Saccharomyces cerevisiae S288C: one gene and its partners. The gene in region 2 interacts genetically with the main gene of each other region. Each region holds a gene or a part of one and is shown on either strand. Other genes may lie near its edges. The genes, in order: ROX1, UTR5 and MOT3.

Evidence for each region.
Region 1: of UTR5 (region 2) and ROX1, a mutation in one rescues a mutant of the other (synthetic rescue), as found in Saccharomyces cerevisiae (2 studies listed by BioGRID, with this or other methods).
Region 3: of UTR5 (region 2) and MOT3, a mutation in one rescues a mutant of the other (synthetic rescue), as found in Saccharomyces cerevisiae (one study listed by BioGRID).

The regions. Positions count from the first base shown.
Region 1 is NC_001148.4:677,693-682,240, forward strand, and holds ROX1 (Rox1p), read left to right. Parts: upstream 1-2,000; coding exon 2,001-3,107; downstream 3,108-4,548. Other genes in the region: YPR063C (uncharacterized protein), read right to left, coding at 120-501, 588-628; YPR064W (uncharacterized protein), read left to right, coding at 1,259-1,678; NEDD8-activating protein UBA3, read left to right, coding at 3,521-4,420; ISA2 (Isa2p), read left to right, coding at 4,528-4,548. UniProt on the Saccharomyces cerevisiae protein: Transcription factor that represses the expression of HEM13, COX5B, ANB1, CYC7 or AAC3 (hypoxic function). Binds to the DNA sequence 5'-RRRTAACAAGAG-3'.
Region 2 is NC_001137.3:83,854-87,736, reverse strand, and holds UTR5 (Utr5p), read left to right. Parts: upstream 1-2,191; coding exon 2,192-2,692; downstream 2,693-3,883. Other genes in the region: MCM DNA helicase complex subunit MCM3, read right to left, coding at 1-800; MTC7 (Mtc7p), read right to left, coding at 1,139-1,558; HYP2 (translation elongation factor eIF-5A), read right to left, coding at 1,588-2,061; ANP1 (Anp1p), read left to right, coding at 3,185-3,883.
Region 3 is NC_001145.3:406,206-410,753, forward strand, and holds MOT3 (Mot3p), read left to right. Parts: upstream 1-2,948; coding exon 2,949-4,421; downstream 4,422-4,548. Other genes in the region: AVO2 (Avo2p), read left to right, coding at 99-1,379; NAT4 (N-terminal L-serine N(alpha)-acetyltransferase NatD), read left to right, coding at 1,504-2,361. UniProt on the Saccharomyces cerevisiae protein: Transcription factor that affects the expression of a large set of genes. Recognizes and binds to the consensus sequence 5'-[CAT]AGG[TC]A-3' in the promoter region. Plays a major role in the repression of a specific subset of hypoxic genes (e.g.

The DNA of each region.
Region 1 (4,548 bases), on a different chromosome or scaffold from region 2:
ACTACTAGGGAAGACTTGAAAAAAACCTAGGAAATGAAAAAACGACACAGGAAGTCCCGTATTTACTATTTTTTCCTTCCTTTTGATGGGGCAGGGCGGAAATAGAGGATAGGATAAGCCTACTGCTTAGCTGTTTCCGTCTCTACTTCGGTAGTTGTCTCAATTGTCGTTTCAGTATTACCTTTAGAGCCGCTAGACGATGGTTGAGCTATTTGTTGAGGGAAAACTAAGTTCATGTAACACACGCATAACCCGATTAAACTCATGAATAGCTTGATTGCAGGAGGCTGGTCCATTGGAGATGGTGCCTTATTTTCCTTATAGGCAACGATGATGTCTTCGTCGGTGTTCAGGTAGTAGTGTACACTCTGAATCAGGGAGAACCAGGCAATGAACTTGTTCCTCAAGAAAATAGCGGCCATAGGCATGGATTGGTTAACCACACCAGATATGCTTGGTGTGGCAGAATATAGTCCTTTTGGTGGCGCAATTTTCTTGTACCTGTGGTAGAAAGGGAGCGGTTGAACTGTTAGTATATATTGGCAATATCAGCAAATTTGAAAGAAAATTGTCGGTGAAAAACATACGAAACACAAAGGTCGGGCCTTGCAACGTTATTCAAAGTCATTGTTTAGTTGAGGAGGTAGCAGCGGAGTATATGTATTCCTTTTTTTTGCCTATGGATGTTGTACCATGCCCATTCTGCTCAAGCTTTTGTTAAAATTATTTTTCAGTATTTTTTCTTCCATGTTGCGCGTTACGAGAACAGAAGCGACAGATAACCGCAATCATACAACTAGCGCTACTGCGGGGTGTAAAAAGCACAAGAACTAAGCCAAGATCACAACAGTTATCGATAAAATAGCAGTGTTTGCATGGCCATTGAGAAGGACAACATTGGCGTGCGCGCCAATGTTGTCTCACCATGTAGCTCCAAACGAGTTGTAAGAGACGGACCGCTCACGCTTCCGAAGCGGTCAGAAAACGCTTCCCAGTATGCAGTTGACCTACATTCAACCTGCAAATATTGCTTTGCTTCAAGAAATGATTACACAGACGTCTATTTTCTTCTACATAATGCACGAAACTTGGGCATTTAGTCATGTAGCCGCCTAGCGAGCCTGGGTGCCGTCCTATCTCCTTTGTTCGTGCAAAGAGACAGGAACACACACTGCGTTCTCTTGCGGCCGGTCTGGCGGACTCAGGGGTGCGGCGTTTGCTTAACCGGAGGGAATAATAAAATCGGGGTGACGCAAGTATGAAGTCATGTGTGCTTAGCAATTACGTAGAGGGATTAGAAATAATAGTGTGCGGTTATCGGAACCGGCTCTTGTTCCCGTTTAGAGCAACCCAGGTGCAGGCGTACTTTAAAGTATTTTCTTTCTTTTTTTTCCTGCTACTTACGCTAGGAGCTGCCGCAGCTGCAAAGCCGACGTCGGAGAGGCAGGTGATCTTCGGCTCGGCCGACAAATCCCCTGGATATCATTGGCCTGTCGAGGTATCGGCCGCGTGGAACTACCGGGAATTACTATGCAAAACAATTGGAAATCTGGTAGGAAAACCTTGTTCTAGAACTTGGCGATTGCTGACAAAGAAGAAAAGGGCCTATTGTTGCTGCCTCTTTTGTTGTTCTTCCTCGTATTGTCTTGCCGGTGTTCTTTGTGTCTTTTGTGTGTAGGTTCTTACTATTATAGTGCTCTTTGCTATTATATTTTCTTCGTTTTCACTTTGCGTAATGTAACGGTCTTAAACAAAGTTTTTTTTTTTTCGCTCTTGCATTTTCCTTTTCTGCTCTATCTTATTTGCTAATTGTAGTTTCAGAAGTTTTACTTAAATATAGCACTATTTTCCAGTTTTAATGTTTCTTCTCATTGCTTTCTTTTATAATTTTCGCATATAATTATACATTTACGGTGTCTTAACTCTCCCTCTTCACCCCTCATTATTCCAGAAAATACTAATACTTCTTCACACAAAAGAACGCAGTTAGACAATCAACAATGAATCCTAAATCCTCTACACCTAAGATTCCAAGACCCAAGAACGCATTTATTCTGTTCAGACAGCACTACCACAGGATCTTAATAGACGAATGGACCGCTCAAGGTGTGGAAATACCCCATAATTCAAACATTTCTAAAATTATTGGTACGAAGTGGAAGGGCTTACAACCGGAAGATAAGGCACACTGGGAAAATCTAGCGGAGAAGGAGAAACTAGAACATGAAAGGAAGTATCCTGAATACAAATACAAGCCGGTAAGAAAGTCTAAGAAGAAGCAACTACTTTTGAAGGAAATCGAGCAACAGCAGCAGCAACAACAGAAAGAACAGCAGCAGCAGAAACAGTCACAACCGCAATTACAACAGCCCTTTAACAACAATATAGTTCTTATGAAAAGAGCACATTCTCTTTCACCATCTTCCTCGGTGTCAAGCTCGAACAGCTATCAGTTCCAATTGAACAATGATCTTAAGAGGTTGCCTATTCCTTCTGTTAATACTTCTAACTATATGGTCTCCAGATCTTTAAGTGGACTACCTTTGACGCATGATAAGACGGCAAGAGACCTACCACAGCTGTCATCTCAACTAAATTCTATTCCATATTACTCAGCTCCACACGACCCTTCAACGAGACATCATTACCTCAACGTCGCTCAAGCTCAACCAAGGGCTAACTCGACCCCTCAATTGCCCTTTATTTCATCCATTATCAACAACAGCAGTCAAACACCGGTAACTACAACTACCACATCCACAACAACTGCGACATCTTCTCCTGGGAAATTCTCCTCTTCTCCGAACTCCTCTGTACTGGAGAACAACAGATTAAACAGTATCAACAATTCAAATCAATATTTACCTCCCCCTCTATTACCTTCTCTGCAAGATTTTCAACTGGATCAGTACCAGCAGCTAAAGCAGATGGGACCAACTTATATTGTCAAACCACTGTCTCACACCAGGAACAATCTATTGTCCACAACTACCCCTACGCATCATCACATTCCTCATATACCAAACCAAAACATTCCTCTACATCAAATTATAAACTCAAGCAACACTGAGGTCACCGCTAAAACTAGCCTAGTTTCTCCGAAATGATTTTTTTTTTCCATTTCTTCTTTCCGTTATATTATATTATACTATATTCCCTTTAACTAAAAATTTATGCATTTGGCTCCTGTTTAATAAAAGTTTAAATCGCCTCAAAAGAACAATTGAAAAATATGTAAAATAACAGCAAATAAAAGTCAAAATTAAAACAAAGTACCCAGAGACAAAAAAGAAAGAAAAGAAAAAAGAAACAGTCTACAAATTCTATTTGAATATATAAAATTATATTCTCAATTTTCACGTATATATTCACCTCACAAATAATATCATTCCTTTAAAAAAAAATATGTATTATTGTATAATGTTTCAGCATAGTCGTTTTTTAAGCCCTTTTTTTTAAACTTAAAAAACAAATCAATGAGATATTGTATACCTATATTATCGATAATAAAGCGACGAGGATGGACTGCAAGATATTGGTGTTAGGCGCAGGTGGTCTAGGATGCGAAATCCTGAAGAATTTGACAATGTTAAGCTTTGTTAAACAGGTTCATATTGTAGATATAGACACAATCGAGCTAACCAACCTTAATAGACAATTTCTTTTTTGTGATAAGGACATAGGCAAACCGAAAGCTCAAGTGGCAGCCCAGTATGTAAACACGCGGTTCCCTCAATTGGAAGTTGTGGCGCACGTACAGGACCTGACCACTTTGCCCCCGAGCTTTTACAAAGACTTCCAGTTCATAATCTCGGGGCTGGACGCCATTGAACCTCGTCGCTTCATCAATGAGACTCTCGTGAAGCTTACCTTGGAGTCCAATTATGAAATTTGCATCCCGTTCATAGATGGTGGAACAGAGGGGCTCAAGGGACATGTAAAAACAATCATTCCAGGCATCACTGCATGCTGGGAGTGCTCCATTGATACCTTGCCCTCGCAGCAGGATACTGTGCCAATGTGTACAATCGCCAACAATCCTCGCTGCATTGAGCATGTTGTGGAGTATGTCTCAACTATACAATACCCTGATTTAAATATTGAGTCTACGGCGGATATGGAATTTCTGCTGGAGAAGTGCTGCGAAAGGGCTGCCCAATTTAGCATCTCAACAGAAAAATTATCAACAAGTTTTATCCTGGGTATAATAAAGAGTATCATACCTAGTGTAAGCACTACGAATGCGATGGTTGCAGCGACATGCTGTACGCAGATGGTTAAGATTTATAATGATTTAATCGACCTGGAAAACGGCAATAATTTCACTTTGATTAACTGCTCAGAAGGGTGTTTTATGTACAGTTTCAAGTTCGAGCGGTTACCCGACTGTACTGTTTGTTCAAATTCCAATTCCAACTAGTATTACTAATGAATAATACCATCCGCCGGTGTCACTTGTTTAAACATCTTGCAAGTAAGTCGAGATCCTAGAGAGCCTTGTACATGTGATTGCACAGTAAAGAAGGTATGCAGGCTAAATTATTGTTT
Region 2 (3,883 bases):
GCGGGGGCCATTTCGGGCATTTCTTGCACAGTGATACGCTGATGGTCTATGAACGTACTATACCCATATTCGGTGGTTAGTTTGTTACCTTCAGTGTCCTCCGTTGGATAGATGGCAGGCGTTGGGATGCGGGTGGTGAGAGTTGTAGTAGCATCTGTATAATCTCTGTAATGGAATCTACCAGTCTTTGCCGCGTAGTGGACAGATCTGATAAGCTTTGGCCTGACCAACGAAGTCTTAGTTACGATACCCTCAACAGAGACCAGTTTGTTTAAATGTTGTGCCGTTAGAGTACGAGGAGACAATGCGTGTGCACCAAATGAGCCTTTGAACGAAAGCTTCCAAGGATGGCGAGACGATACTGCAGAGGCATTGGGATGTGGAACATCGTCCATGGAATCTGCTAGGTCAGTAAGCGCCTTTTCGGCAGGCGGGATGAAGTATGCTGGTTCGACTAAAATGCCCGACCAGAACGACCTGTCGAATTCTCTCAAGTCATCAAGCGAGATGATAATCCTGTGAGGGAGTATATTCAATGAGGTGGACGATGCTGCTTTCTTTTCCTTTTCAAGATCATCACCGTCGTCATCACCTAGCAAATCTCGTTCGTCTGCGTCATCTTGATCATCGTTGTAGTTGGCCGCGTTATTGCTGTTGTAAACTTGTATGGACCTTACAGAGTCTCTGTATGAGGTGAAAGTATCTAAAAACTCTTGAAATCTGCGCACTCTGTCACCAAACACAGCGTCTGGAGCGAAAAAAGTAGTAGCGTCTCCATCAAATCCCGTTGAGCCTTCCATAATTGACGTTTGTATCTTTTTGGTGCGCTTATAGTGGAGTTCAATACGAGCAGTAGGATGAAAATGCTTCAAGGAAAAGAGCGTAGGCCTTTTCAACTTGAAAGAAGATTAAGAACCTATCTTTCGAGTTTTGACCAAATTTTTCTTTTTTTTCCTAAAACACGAGTTTTTACCCATTTAGGAAAAGTAATTGTTTCTTCTACCGCCTCGATCTGACGAACAAGGGAAATTGAAAAAAAAGAGAAAAATAACGACAACTGCAGGACTCGAACCTGCGCGGGCAAAGCCCAAAAGATTTCTAATCTTTCGCCTTAACCACTCGGCCAAGTTGCCATAACTCATTGAAAATTCTGTTTCCCACATAGGTCAAAACTAATATTTCCCTTGGCCTGCTCTTCAACCTCCCCCGTTCTGAGAGTTCCCTTTTTTTTTTTTTTTTTTTTTTTTTGAGGGGGAAGCGCCGGATTTGCCACCGACCGGCTGCTTGCAGCCGGTAGATATGCGCACATGAAAATCATCCTCCCCAATGAATTACACTGCCTGCATAAGGAAAAAGAAAAGTGTGAAATACGAATAAAAACAAAGTATATTATTGCTATATAGATGATAAATAACAAAATAAATAGAAAATAAAAAAAAGGATTTATTTGTGTATGCTTTAGGAGAACGAAAAAAAAATTGCAAAGAAAAAAACCCGGTTCAGCGAAGAGTACATGATGTGATGGAAGGGGCGTCGGAGTTTTTTTTTCTTTTTTCATTTATATCCCATGCCATGATGTTAACCGGTTTAATCGGTTCTAGCAGCTTCCTTGAAGGAGATGGCGGCTTCTTCACCCATAGCGGAGATGATGGTAACCATCAAGTCCTTACCTTCATCAAAAGCAGTTTGCAAACTGTCACCCAATTCACCTTCTGGAGCCTTGACATCATCCTTAGTGTCACCGTCCATGTTCATCAAAGACAAGAAACCGTCATCAATGTCCAACAATTGGTATTCGTTTCTCTTGACAACTGGAACTTCCATGTTGTGAGTAGATGGAGACAAATCTTCCAACTTCTTACCAGTGAAGATATCAATGGCAACCAAATGGACTTTAGCGTGACCGTGCTTACCAGTCTTAGAAGTGGACATGTCGACAATCTTACATGGTCTACTCTTGATGACAACGAAACCGTTCTTTCTCAAGGCAGAACATTGCATTGGGTAGGTGGCGGAGGAACCAGCGTCAGCAGTTTCAAAGGTATGTTCTTCGTCAGACATTGTATATATGAGTTGGTATTTGTGTGTGTTTGGGAGTCTATGAGTAATTGGCTACAGAAGTAGAATCGTTAGAAAGAAGGAAAGGAAGCAATTGATAGAAGGAGAGGAATTTAGGAAATGAGGGATTCCAATGTCAAGATATGGCAAAAACCTTGTGCATTATATAATCGTGGAACACGACGATCAACGCGGCCAAAAGCCGATCGACGACGACGACGAAAAAAATTTTTATTACCACTGTTCCTTCACCTTCGAAACTTTTTTTCGGGCGACGGCGTTTCTTTTAGCTCCTGCGGTATGTGCGGTGCGGGAGGTCCCTTGTCGCCTCACACGGACCCGATATAACGCTACGGAATACATCGAGGGGTATGGGTGGATGATATCACTGCAGCAAGGTCTGGGTGTTGCAGAATTTTACCGGCCTTGGCCCCTCAGCGTCCAGCTACAGCGTTATACTACTCCAAGTCGCCGTTCCCGTTTTGCTGTTCTCACCCCTCAGAGAAAATGCCACCAGAACGAAGCCAATGGTCAGGACTTATCGTTACTTATACTGTTGAGCCGGATATATCCGCTGTGCTCTAATACCAGCCAAACGAGAAGGGTAGCGGCAAGAAAGGGTAAACTTTCATGATGAAGTTAGCTAGTTCCTTTTACGATTGCTACTATCTCGTTCAACTTGGCCTGCGCTGTTGATGAAAATAGCAGTGACTGCAGAGAATAGAAATGAACCGGGCTCATCTGGTCTAGTTGCCTTCTTTTTTTTATTTTTTTTCATTTTCCTTTTCTTTTCTTTTCTTTTCTTGTCTCACTATGTTGGTTTAATCAATTCGTAATCCCTTTACCAACGCATTGTGTTCAATTTTCCTCTTGTGTGGGGTCGCCCGCCTTGTCTCATCGTGAAAAAATTGCGTAAGATGAAATCATGAAAACATGAAATAAAAAAAATAAATAAAAATAACTACACGATTCAAAAACGCCAAGATCTGTTAGTAGAGACAGCAAGCATTGCAAAACCATTCATCACTCAGTTGCTAGGCGAGTGTTGGTGCGATTTACCCTCATCATCTTTTTTTCGCTCCATTAAACAGTTCCTTGTGGCTTTCATGCAAAGTGTACGTCCATAATGAAGTATAATAACAGAAAACTCTCGTTCAACCCTACCACAGTAAGTATCGCTGGAACGTTGCTTACGGTGTTCTTTCTCACAAGACTCGTGCTTTCGTTCTTCTCGATATCGCTATTCCAGCTGGTAACTTTCCAAGGAATCTTCAAGCCCTATGTTCCAGATTTTAAAAATACTCCCAGCGTAGAGTTCTACGACCTACGAAATTACCAAGGCAACAAAGATGGTTGGCAACAGGGTGACCGCATCTTGTTTTGCGTGCCACTGAGAGATGCTTCTGAGCATCTTCCCATGTTTTTTAACCATCTGAATACCATGACATATCCGCACAACCTGATTGATCTGTCGTTTTTGGTGAGTGACTCTTCGGATAACACCATGGGCGTGTTACTATCCAATCTACAGATGGCGCAATCGCAACAAGACAAGTCCAAAAGGTTTGGTAACATCGAAATCTATGAGAAGGACTTCGGCCAAATCATTGGTCAGTCCTTTTCTGATCGTCACGGGTTTGGCGCCCAGGGCCCCAGAAGAAAGCTGATGGCCAGGGCTCGTAATTGGCTTGGGTCCGTGGCCCTGAAACCATACCACTCCTGGGTTTACTGGAGAGACGTGGATGTCGAAACCATCCCCACTACCATCATGGAGGATCTAATGCATCACGACAAGGACGTCATTGTCCCCAACGTCTGGAGACCT
Region 3 (4,548 bases), on a different chromosome or scaffold from region 2:
TTTTTTGATCTGGTACAATTGAAAATGTATAAATCAACTGGACCCTAAAAATAAAAAAAAAAAACGCCCATTAGAAAAGAGGATATATTGAACAAAAGATGTTGAAAGAGCCCTCAGTTCGCTTGCGGGAGGCTATTATTGAAGGCAATTTACTTATAGTGAAAAGATTATTGCGACGGAATCCGGATTTGCTAACCAACATAGACTCAGAGAACGGATGGAGTTCATTACATTACGCCTCATACCATGGAAGATACCTTATATGCGTGTATTTAATTCAGCTGGGGCACGACAAGCATGAACTAATAAAAACCTTTAAAGGAAACACCTGTGTGCATTTAGCATTAATGAAAGGGCACGAGCAAACCTTACATTTACTTTTGCAACAATTTCCGCGATTTATCAACCATCGCGGAGAGAATGGTAGAGCCCCCATCCATATAGCATGTATGAACGATTACTACCAATGTCTGAGTCTGTTGATAGGAGTTGGTGCTGATTTATGGGTAATGGACACTAATGGCGACACGCCGCTGCATGTATGCCTGGAGTATGGCAGTATAAGTTGTATGAAGATGCTTCTCAATGAAGGTGAGGTGTCCTTGGATGATAATGTCAGGGACAAGGGAAATTGGAAGCCAATAGATGTAGCACAAACGTTTGAAGTAGGTAATATATATTCAAAAGTGTTAAAAGAGGTGAAAAAGAAGGGGCCACCGTTGGGTGCAGGCAAAAAACCAAGTTCATTCAGAACTCCTATACTAAATGCGAAGGCCACTTTCGAGGACGGGCCTTCCCCAGTTTTAAGCATGAATTCGCCATATTCGCTCTATTCCAATAATAGTCCGTTGCCGGTATTACCAAGAAGGATATCAACGCATACAACAAGCGGTAACGGTGGGAATCGGAGGAGTTCTATCACAAATCCAGTATTCAACCCACGAAAACCAACCTTGTCTACGGACAGTTTTTCGTCAAGCTCAAATTCCAGCTCGAGACTAAGAGTGAACTCCATCAACGTCAAGACTCCAGTAGGTGTGTCGCCCAAGAAAGAGCTTGTATCTGAATCAGTACGACACAGTGCAACACCAACAAGTCCGCACAACAACATCGCGTTGATTAATAGATACTTGTTGCCTAACAAGAGCAATGACAACGTGAGAGGAGACTCACAGACAGCTACAATCAACGATGACGGTGGCGGCGGCAATGGCGGTGATGCCACTATAGGAATGGGACTAAGAAAGGACCCGGACGATGAGAACGAGAACAAGTACAAGATTAAGGTAAACAATGGCGAGCCGAGGAGACGAGTGTCACTTCTGAACATACCCATCTCAAAATTAAGAAATAGCAATAACACGCGTGCAGAAGATTGAGAAGACTACTACGTATTTTTTTTTATATGCATCCTTTTTTCCACATATGTATGCGCGGTGCGCGCGCGCCATTAAAAGATTTTTTTCTTAGCTCTTTTTCTTTTTTCTTTTTCTTTCCACTGAGATGCGTTCTTCGGTATATAGTGAGAACACTTACAACTGTATACGAACATCGAAGGAGCACCTAACAGAAAGAAGGAGGGTCGCCATGGCGCCAATGTTCCAACATTTCTTAAACTTATGCGTGGAAAAATTTCCTGAATCCATCGAGCACAAGGATACAGATGGAAACGGTAACTTCACCACCGCTATTTTAGAAAGGGAGATTATCTACATCCCCGAAGATGACACTGACAGTATTGACAGCGTTGACAGCCTCAAGTGTATAAACTACAAGCTGCACAAATCTCGCGGCGACCAAGTGCTGGACGCCTGTGTGCAATTGATAGACAAGCACCTGGGCGCCAAGTATCGCCGGGCCTCGCGCATTATGTACGGCAACAGGAAACCATGGAAGGCAAACAAACTCGCAGAGATGAAAAGCGCCGGCCTTGTGTATGTCTGTTACTGGGACAACGGCGTGCTAGGTGCATTTACTTCATTCATGCTTACAGAGGAGACGGGTCTCGTCGAAGGTGACGCTTTACACGAGGTTAGCGTGCCCGTGATATACCTTTACGAAGTACATGTAGCTAGCGCGCACCGCGGGCATGGAATCGGTCGGCGGCTACTGGAGCATGCACTGTGCGATGGCGTAGCTCGACACACCCGCCGCATGTGCGACAATTTCTTCGGTGTAGCACTCACCGTATTCAGTGATAACACTCGGGCCCGGCGACTATATGAGGCGCTTGGGTTCTACCGCGCTCCGGGATCACCCGCACCAGCATCACCCACAATTCGTCACACGCGACATGGTGGGGGACGTGTAGTCGTGCCCTGCGATCCGCTTTATTACGTATATTGCCTTCACATGCCGTGAAAGCCGACAGGGACAACGCGCGATAAAAAAAAAATTAAAAGTAAAACTACGTACGCGGCGGCGCGACTCGAATCCTTGACTCCGACTGAGGAGACCCGAACAACGCTCCCTGCTCTCCGCCTTCGGCGCCTTCCGATAACTGCGCACGGCAAGGAGTAGTGGCGATAACGGTGTTTATTGCCGGTTTTTTCGTTTTTCTTCTTGATTTTCTTCTTTTTTTTCCTCAAAAGATGTGCTGTAGCCTCCGCTGTTGTTTTTTTTTATCCTACCAAGGCGCATCATCCTGTCATGATCTGCGCTGGATAGTATTTATACTACTACTCCGTCTGGATTTACTAAACTTTGTCTCTCTTTTGATGTAAAGTTAAAGAAGAATTACGAAAAAAGAGAGAAAAAATAGAAACAAATAATAGGAATTAAGGCCTTGTAGCAATCAAAAAAAAAAAGAAAAAAAAGGAATTTTTTTTGGAAGAAAACTTGAACAAAACAATTCCTCAAGAAGGAACAGGTACAAGAAAAGATTTAACAGAAGGAAAACTAATAGGCAACAGTAGGCAAATAGTAAAGGGACATATCATATTTGAGCAATGAATGCGGACCATCACCTGCAACAGCAGCAGCAACAGCGACAACAGCATCAACAACAACAGCATCAACAACAACAGCATCAGCATCAGCATCAACAGCAGCAGCACACGATATTACAAAATGTGTCGAACACTAACAATATCGGCAGCGATTCGCTGGCGTCACAGCCTTTCAACACGACTACTGTTTCCTCTAACAAGGACGACGTTATGGTGAACTCTGGGGCAAGAGAACTTCCAATGCCCTTACATCAGCAGCAGTATATATACCCTTACTATCAGTATACAAGTAATAACAGTAACAACAATAATGTGACGGCTGGTAACAATATGTCTGCGTCGCCGATTGTCCATAACAACAGCAACAACAGCAACAACAGCAATATTTCTGCTTCTGATTACACTGTCGCAAACAACAGTACTAGCAATAATAACAATAATAATAATAATAACAACAATAATAACAATAATATTCACCCAAACCAGTTTACTGCGGCCGCAAATATGAACTCAAATGCTGCAGCGGCTGCTTATTACTCCTTCCCCACTGCGAATATGCCAATACCGCAACAGGATCAACAATATATGTTCAATCCTGCTTCATACATAAGCCATTACTATTCAGCAGTTAACAGCAATAACAATGGTAATAACGCCGCTAACAATGGCAGCAACAACTCTTCTCACTCAGCCCCAGCCCCGGCCCCCGGTCCACCCCATCACCATCACCATCATAGTAATACACACAACAACCTCAACAATGGTGGTGCTGTAAATACAAACAACGCTCCTCAGCACCATCCAACGATAATAACGGATCAATTTCAATTCCAACTACAACAAAACCCTTCTCCAAATTTGAATCTCAATATTAACCCGGCACAACCTCTGCATCTACCTCCTGGTTGGAAAATAAACACTATGCCGCAACCACGTCCTACGACAGCACCTAACCATCCCCCTGCGCCGGTGCCTTCTTCGAACCCTGTGGCCTCGAACTTGGTTCCTGCCCCATCATCAGACCATAAATATATCCATCAATGCCAATTTTGTGAGAAGTCTTTCAAAAGAAAATCATGGTTGAAAAGGCACCTATTGTCACACTCGCAACAAAGACATTTTCTATGCCCTTGGTGCTTAAGCAGGCAGAAGAGAAAAGATAATCTTTTACAGCATATGAAACTCAAGCATACAAATTATTTATTAGACGAACTCAAGAAAAACAACATCATCTTTAACTACAACAATTCTTCCTCCTCTAATAATAACAACGACAATAATAATAATAATAACAGCAATAGCGCTAGCGGCAGTGGCGGTGCCGGTGCCGCGGCGGCAGCAGCAACAGCTCCCGAAAATGAAGATGGAAACGGTTACGATACAAACATCAAGACTTTAATCAATGATGGTGTACTGAATAAGGACGACGTTAAACGTGTTTTGAATAACCTTATTGTTAGTCACAACAAATAGATAGACTTTATAGACACACAAAATATCCCTTCCCACTCATTTAACAATCAAGATAATAGTAATAATCACAAATTTAGAAAGTAATTATGCATATATACATTATATACATATAGTTTATGTATGGTAC